Oryctolagus cuniculus: one gene and its partner. Each later gene encodes a partner of the first gene's protein in a complex. Links are inferred from orthologs where the notes say so. Each region holds a gene or a part of one and is shown on either strand. Other genes may lie near its edges.

Region 1 (3,500 bases):
GTAGCTGTTGATCCCACTGAATATGTGATTTCACCAAGAAATTCGTCTTCGGAATCAAAGAGTGAGACATTTAAAATGAACACTTAGTAAGTCAGTCCTGGGAAAGGTATGAGTTTTTCAGGAATGATTTTGTTGTTAAACAAGAGTGCTTTCTATGATTTGGATGAAGGGAGCATTTTGTTTAAAAGGTAGAAATGAGCTATATTATATGCCCCTCTTTGTACTCTGACTTGTGTTTTAATGTCGTTTAGACGTTTTTGCAAGAAGGAATGCCTACTTCTGCACGATGTGATGACTTAGAAGCCTTGAAAAAGAAAGGCTGCCATCCAGACGACATAGAGAATCCCAGAGGTTCCAGAGACATAAAGAAAAATAAGAATGTCACCAACCGTAGCAAAGGCACAGCAGAGAAGCTGCAGCCGGAGGATATCACTCAGATCCAGCCCCAGCAGCTGGTTCTGCAGCTGCGATCAGGTGCGGGCCCAGCCATCTGCCCCTGAAGTGCCGTCCTCACAGGCAGGCCCCCAGTCCAGCTGACGCTGGCCAGCTTTACAGAGTTTTCTGAAAACACACAGCTTGTGAAATGCATATTCCTGGAGTAATGTTAAATGTTGCCATCGTCAGAAGTAAAATCTGCTAATGATTCGGCAAGTGTGAATTAGACTTAATGGGCTTTACAAGTATTGTCCATTTTCTGATTTGATTACATTATATAAAGGCAACCTTTTTTATTTATTTATTTATTTTTTAACTTTTATTTAGTAGATGTAAATTTCCAAAGTACAGTTTATGGATTACAATGGCTTTTCCCTCCCATAACTTCCCACCCACCCATAACCCTCCCATCTCCTGCTCCCTCTCCCGTTCCATTCACATCAAGATTCATTTTCGATTATCATAAAGGCAACATTGTAATGTTTCCTTTCTTGTGCAGTATTTTAAAATTATTCTTGGTCAGTGTCTGTGGCAGTGTGTGACCCACTCCTGTGCTGTGTCAGGAGGTGGTGGTGCTCGGTCCCCCTCACCCTGGCCCCTGCGCTCACACTGAGCCTGGTGCAGTCCACCTGCTGCTGAGTCCACTGTAGCACAGCCGCTGCACTGGGCTGACACCACAGCTCGTGCGCCTGCTGGTCTGTTCTGACCCTCCTGCACCCAGGATGGTGCTCCTGGCTTCTCTGAGCTTTCACTGTTGGTTTCTAGGCTTTTGTGTCTCTTCCTGTCCCCATCTCTGTGGTCCACTTTACAACTTGGCTTTCCTGTCATGATTTAAAAGCTGCAGCAACACAAACTTTTCTGTTGAGCTCCAAACAGTTCCTCTGACCTGTCTCCCAGAACTGTCTGTAGACAGGATTTTTAACCATGTTTCACCTGAACCTCTCATTCTCCTGTGTTTCGTGACTGAAGTATGCCGACAACTCTGTCTCCAGTTCTCTATCCTCACTGTTTCAATTCAGATCTTCATCACCTCCCCTTGAATTTTCCATCATTCCTTAACTGGTCTTTGACTCTATAATCCAATTGTAAAACTTTACCCAGATTTTCTAAAGCAGAAATCGTATTCTGTGATTTTCTTTCATGTGGTGGCTTCCTGTGACCAAGACCTGAGTTCCTTTAGAATGCCAGTCTCTAGAATGAGAGTCAGCCCTGTGACCTATCCAGCCCAAGACCGTTGAAAAATGGATGATTTAGACATAGATTACCTAGTGTAGGTTGGGCATGTTGCCTTTTTATTTTTTTAATTTTTTTTTTTTTATTTTTTGACAGGCAGAGTGGACAGTGAGAGAGAGAGACAGAGAGAAAGGTCTTCCTTTTCCGTTGGTTCACCCCCCTAATGGCCGCTACTGCCAGCACTGCGCCGATCCGAAGGCAGGAGCCAGGTGCTTCTCCTGGTCTCCCATGGGGTGCAGGGCCCAAGCACTTGGCCCATCCTCCACTGCCTTCCTGGGCCACAGCAGAGAGCTGGCCTGGAAGAGGGGCAACCGGGACAGAATCCGGTGCCCCGACCGGGACTAGAACCCGGTGTGCCGGCGCCGCAGGTGGAGGATTAGCCTATTGAGCCGTGGTGCTGGCCGGCATGTTGTCTTTTTCACCCCGAGGTCTGGAGTGTCAAGTATTGGTTGAATGAAATTGAGTATAGACCCAGTGAGTTTTGTTAAGTTTATGACAGTGCATTTCATCTTGCATTGTTGGCCCTGTAAATCAGATCCATTTGGTTTTCTCACTTGTTCTTGGTTCTTGGCTTGCTAACATCTTTTCTGACCCGTTTGGCTAGGGGAGCCCCAGACGTTCACGTTGAAGTTCAAGCGTGCTGAAGACTACCCCATCGACCTCTACTACCTCATGGACCTCTCCTACTCCATGAAAGATGATCTGGAGAACGTCAAGAGTCTCGGGACGGATCTGATGAATGAGATGAGGAGGGTGACTTCAGACTTCCGAATTGGTAGGAATGTTGGGAAAATTAGTAGTTTTCCTTCTTTGTTCTCCAGGCCAGTTTTTAGCTCTTCCCTTCTGAGAGGAAACATCATCTGTGTAACAGGCGCTCTGCCTCTGGGCTCCTGTATCCCTGTGTGCTCAGCACAGATGAAGAAGTCGTGCCTGTCCTCACAGTTCACCCACTCATGTCCACCCGCGGGTACGGCCTTGTCTCACTCAGACCCAGTTTGCCATGCTGTGATGTTCTGCTTTCCACCCTTCCTTTCCTGTCCTGTGCATCTCCAGGCTTGCCTGCTCGTCGCCGGCTGTCTCCTGCTCCTGCCGCACCCAAGGTGTTGCAGCAGAGTGCTGGAGAAACTGGACAGCCTCCTTGTGGCCAAAAAGCTGCCTTTTAAAAATTAACTCTGTTTTAGAAGAAACCTTGAAAAACTTAAAGTGCCATTGTATTCAGTAGGCACAGTTCAGGGACCATGGAAATAGTAAGTTCTTAAGCAAGGTAGTCTTTTTGAAGTGGTCAGAATTCCAGAACATTCATTTATTCATCCATCCATCCAACGTGGCACTGTGGAGAACTGAGGATACTAAGAAAGTCAGTGTTCATTATTTTTATTTTATTTTTCTAAAGATTTAATTTATTTGAAAGGCAGAGTTAGAGATAGATACATACATACATAGAGAGAGGTCTTCTATCCACTGGTTCACTCCCCAGATGGCTGCACCAGCCACAGCTGGGCCAGACCAAAACCAGGAGCTTCCTCTGGGTCTCCCACATGGGTGCAGGGACACAAGCACTTGGGCATCTTCCACTGCTTTCCCAGGTACATTAGCAGGGAGGCTGCACTGGAAGTAGAGCAGCTGAGACTCCAACTGGTGCCCATGTAGAATGCTGGCACTGTGGGCGCAGCTTAACCTATTTAGCCCCAGTGCTGGCACCAATGCTCATTATTTTTAAAGTGGGTAGGCAGAAGATGGATGTACAGCTCAGTCCTGCTGGGCAGCTGGAACCAGACAGCTCACAAACCACAGGAATGCATCACTCACATTTCAGGAGGCCAAGCAGTCCA
Region 2 (4,300 bases), on another chromosome or scaffold:
TTCTGATGGCAAATAGTTTATTCTCTATAGTTCTATTTATGACTGACTGTAATAGACGATTCTAATCAATGCAATACATATATAGTAAGACCATTATTTATTCATTAGTTAAAGCCTGACTTTTGGGCCTGCATTGTAGCACAGCAAGTTAAGCCACTGCCTGAAGAACCAGCATCCCTTATGGAAGCAGTTCAAGTGCTGGCTGCTCTACTTCCGATACAGCTCCCTGCTAATGTGCCTGGGAAAGCAGTGGAAGATGGCCCAAGTGCTTGGGCCCCTGCACGTACATGGGAGACCCAGGAAGCTCCTGGCACCCACATGAGGGACCCGGATGAAGCTCCTGGCTCTGGCCTGGCCCAGCTCTGGCAGTTGCAGCCATTTGGGGAGTGAACCAGTGGATGGGAGACCTCTCTGTCTGTCTCTCCCTCTCTCTGTAACTCTGCCTTTCAAATAAATAAAATAAATTAAAAAAAAAAAAAAAAAGCCTGGCTCTGGAGAACTACAGGTTGCCTCAGTCACCTTCAACAGCTCCTTCCACGCAACGTGAAAGAAACCGCCTATTGAAACCCACGTTATTAGTGAGGTCCACTTATCACAAACAAGGCAAGCTCTGACACAAACGCTCTTTCCCTTGAAAACAGAGGACACACGGACAATTATATTTGGTGATATTTCAGCCCTCATACCAGTGCTGAACTGATCCATGGACACTTTGCAAAGAGTCATCGATTTACTCAAATCATACAAAAAACACTGTTAACCCACAGAGAGCGGACTGGTTAAACAAACAATACAGCAAAATCTAGCTGCCAAAGGGCTGGGGGTGGGGGAAGGTCCTGGCCCTGTCTCAGGCAGGTAAACAGCACAGAGGCAACCTTGTGAGGTGCTTCTCTCGGGTCTGTGCATAAGGAAACTTCTGCAAAGCCACAAGGCGGGTGCTCCTGTGAACCCTGCCGTATTGGGCACAGCGCCCCAGAGAGCTACTGCAGTAAGTTTATATGGTAGGGACGCAAGGCTCCCTTGGTAAGAAACACATTTCCTAATCAATGCTTCTCCACTTTGGCAGTGTGGTTTAGAAAAAAAAAAAAAAGCCAAAAACACAAAAACACACACCCTCAAAGTGAAAAACCCAACCTACAAAGACCTGACCACAAGTGCATGATATGGAAAACTGGGGAAGTCTCTTCTGAACACCAGCTGTTTAGCTACCGCGGAAAACGGTTTCCTTCATGGCAGACAGAACGTGCACTGGGAAACCTCCTCCAGTTTCATGCTGTCAGAGACCCTGCCTTCAACCTGGGCCACCCGGTAGGGACTGGACTCGGGCGAACACTGTCAACCCCCAAGCAGCCTTCCCGTCTGCTTCTGAACACGGTTCTCCCACTGGCTCGTTAATGTAAAACCGAATGCTCCGAATAGCCGCGCTGGAGCACCGGGTGGGGACTCCAAGTCGCTCGGCCGCTGCCCACCCCTCGCAGGGGCGCACGGCCGGCCGGGCCACCGCCACTGCCCAGCGACGCCAGCACCCGCCTATCTCCCCGGGTGGGGGGCGGCTTTCTAACGTGGATTTCGCGTTACTCCCGATGCCAAGCGTCGCCAACACGCCAGACATGGGTAACCACACGCCCCGCACCGCCACCCTGCAGACCCTGCCCATTTCTTTCCACGTGAAGCCGGCGAATGCAAAGAATCAAGGAGCTCCCCGCCCCCAGCCCAACTACGCAATGAAGTCTCTAAGTAGGGGCTCCAAGCACCACATTCCGAAAATTCAGAGCTAGCCAAACAAAACGCCAAGGGAACCGCGTCGGTTCGCTTAAATATTGACAGATCTCACTTTTTTTTTTTTTTAAGTATCCAAGAGACGCCAAGATTTCCACACCCGCCCCTCCCCCCCGCGCCGCCTCCCTCCCACCCCTCCCCCACCCCGCCAGTCGCTTCCCGGACGCCTCCGGGATGCTACTCACCCAGCTTTTCCACCAACTTCAGCATCACCCCTCCGATGTGCACCTCTCCGGTCACTCTCAGGGTGACATCGCGGTTCAGGTCCGTCACATGCACACTCAGCTCCCACGTCCCGTCCGCGTAGCAGCCATCTGGCATCCTTATCCCGTCCAGAGCCATGGCTCCTTCCTGCGCGCGCGGAGGAAATGGCTCTCGTAAGCGTCACTCCCCCAAACGAAGGCAAAGCCCACCGTGCTCGCGGCGTCGGCCGCCGGGCTGGGGAAGCCGGAGGACCCGGTGTTGGGGGTGGGGTGGGGGGCTCCCGCGCAAACTCGGGAGCACCGCGGAGCCGCACTGGGCGCTCCGCGCTCCCGCCCCGGCCCCGAGCGGCCGCGGCCCCGCCCGCCCCACGCCGCCCCCGCCTAGCGGAGCGCAGCGGCGTCCCCTGCCTGCCGCCCGGCCGCGCCCGGCCGCGCCCGGCCCGGGGAGACGCTGCCCGGGGGCTCCACAGTCTTCGTCCCCACCCGCGCTCCCCAGCAGATTGCAGCCCCGTCCAGGCCCCTCACCGCGCGCTCCTCGCGCACCCGGCCCGGGGCTCGCCCGCAACAGGCGCGGGGGCGGCGTCCGCGTCCCGCTCCGCAGCCGGCTCAGCTCTGCCTCCTGGCCGGAGCCGCTAATGGAGTCCCGGCGCCGCGGCCCCCAGCCTGGCTCCGCGCGCTCCACCCCTCTCTCCCCGCCCCCTCAGCCCGTCCGGTCCGGGCTGGGCTCGCCGGCTCCCTCCTCCTCCTCCTCCTCCTCCTCCGCCCCGCAGAGCGGCCCGGAGCGCCTGGGGCCGACCTCGGCCCCTCCACAGCCCTCCCCGCGGCTGCGCTCCGGGCGGGGGCCGCGGACTCCGGGCTGGGGGCGGGGCGGCGGGGGGCGGCGGGGGGCGCCGGCGGCGGCGGTGGCAACCTCAGCCCCGCCGAGCGCTGCCCTTTTATGGAAATGAAGGACCAGGCGCAGGGATGGAATCCAACATCCGGGCTCTCGGCGGCGGGACCTGAGGAGGGGGAGTCCGGGCCGCTCCTCCGCCAGCCGGAGGCCGCGGCGTGAGGGAGCCGGCGGCCGCCCGGAGGATGGGGCTCGGCGCGGCGAAGTGGCCGCAGGGAATCCCCAGAGCCGTCAGATTTCGGGGAACAAAGTCCTGCCGCTTCCTCCCCAGGCCTGGAACGCGCCCCAGAGTCCCGGGGCGGTGAGGGGCGCCGCTTCCCTGGAGCCGGCGGGCCGAGTTGGGGATGTAAAAACTTTAAAAAGTGAGCGCCCAAGCCGGCTCCACGAACATGCCGCGACAGGAGGAGAAAACCCGGGGTGGGGGAGGCGAGCCACAAACGTCGCTGTGCCATGGGTGACCGGCACGGTCAGCGACTCCCACGGGACCCCGGGAGTTTGCACGAGGCCTTAACCCATTGGGAAGCTGCAGCCCGGGGCGAGTGGCGGGCGGGCCCCCTCGCTCGGGCTGAGGGCAGGGAAAACCCTTGGTGCCAAAGCGTGTCCCCGGCCTGTCCAGTCTCCGGTGCGAATCTGGACAGCTTGAGAACCAGCCGCCTGTTACGAAGATGGGTCCTGCACCGCACCGCGAAGGCCCTGCGGTGGCTCCTGCAGGGCCAGGGAAGACTGCACGGAAGGTGCAACGCCGGCCTCCGGCCTCCCTGCCTCCCCCTGCCCCCTGTGCCGACCTCGATCCCGAGGGAACTCTGTGCACAAACAGCGAACCAGGGAAACCGCTTCGCTGGCCAGTGCACGGCTCAAAATATATAGGTCAGGAAGCCTCGGGTAAGATCCGCTACGAAGGCTCCCGGTTTGCAAAGCCTCATGGCTTTCCAAACACTTCGAAGGGAAACCCGCCAGACAAAAACAAAACACACTTTGGTTCATCGACACCTCTGGGCCAGGAGGTGAGAGCCTTGAGAAAGGACTGGAACCCAAAAAGGAGTGAACGCAGCGATGCTGAGTCGGATGCCAGAGGTTTGTCACCAAAAAGTAGAGGGAACCACTGTGGGGTTACAGCGTCGTCGTCATGGAGAGACATGCCTGCAGGCTCTGCCCCTGCACTCCCCGGTTATTTCTACTGAAGGATGTTCCAGATCCTTCCTTTGGAAGCGATAAGGAGGGAGTGTTTATGTGAATTGTGCTGTTGAAAATAAACAGGAAAATGTTTTTAATAAAATAGAAAATGCCTTGCGAGGGTTTAAAAAAAAAAAAACTACATGCGACTGTAAAATCGAGAGCAAATATATTCAAAAGAAAAAGGCAGCAGGGAAATACAGCAAAACTGTTCAGAAGCTGAGCCCACTTGGTACTGCTATTTATTTGCTACAAA

The links. Proteins that work in one complex are often made in the same cells at the same time.
Region 2: the proteins of ITGB1 (region 1) and FERMT2 are in contact, whole or in part, in a crystal structure (PDB 8TEE), measured with the Mus musculus proteins. The link is inferred for Oryctolagus cuniculus from reciprocal best matches to the Homo sapiens genes ITGB1 and FERMT2. Residues at the interface, in NP_034708.1 of Mus musculus: Ala786, Val787, Thr788, Thr789, Val790, Val791, Asn792, Pro793, Tyr795, Glu796, Gly797; in NP_666166.2 of Mus musculus: Phe609, Ser610, Asn611, Met612, Lys613, Gln614, Trp615, Asn616, Val617, Asn618, Trp619, Glu620, Ala629, Asp630, His647, Ile654, Ser657, Thr658, Lys674, Leu675, Ser677, Gly678.

The regions. Positions count from the first base shown.
Region 1 is NC_091444.1:108,918,883-108,922,382, forward strand, and holds part of ITGB1 (integrin beta-1), read left to right. Parts: intron 1-251; coding exon 252-474; intron 475-2,272; coding exon 2,273-2,443; intron 2,444-3,500.
Region 2 is NC_091443.1:23,418,985-23,423,284, reverse strand, and holds the start of FERMT2 (fermitin family homolog 2), read right to left. Parts: upstream 2,801-4,300; 5' UTR 2,508-2,800; intron 2,131-2,507; 5' UTR 2,122-2,130; coding exon 1,965-2,121; intron 1-1,964. UniProt on the Homo sapiens protein: Scaffolding protein that enhances integrin activation mediated by TLN1 and/or TLN2, but activates integrins only weakly by itself. Binds to membranes enriched in phosphoinositides.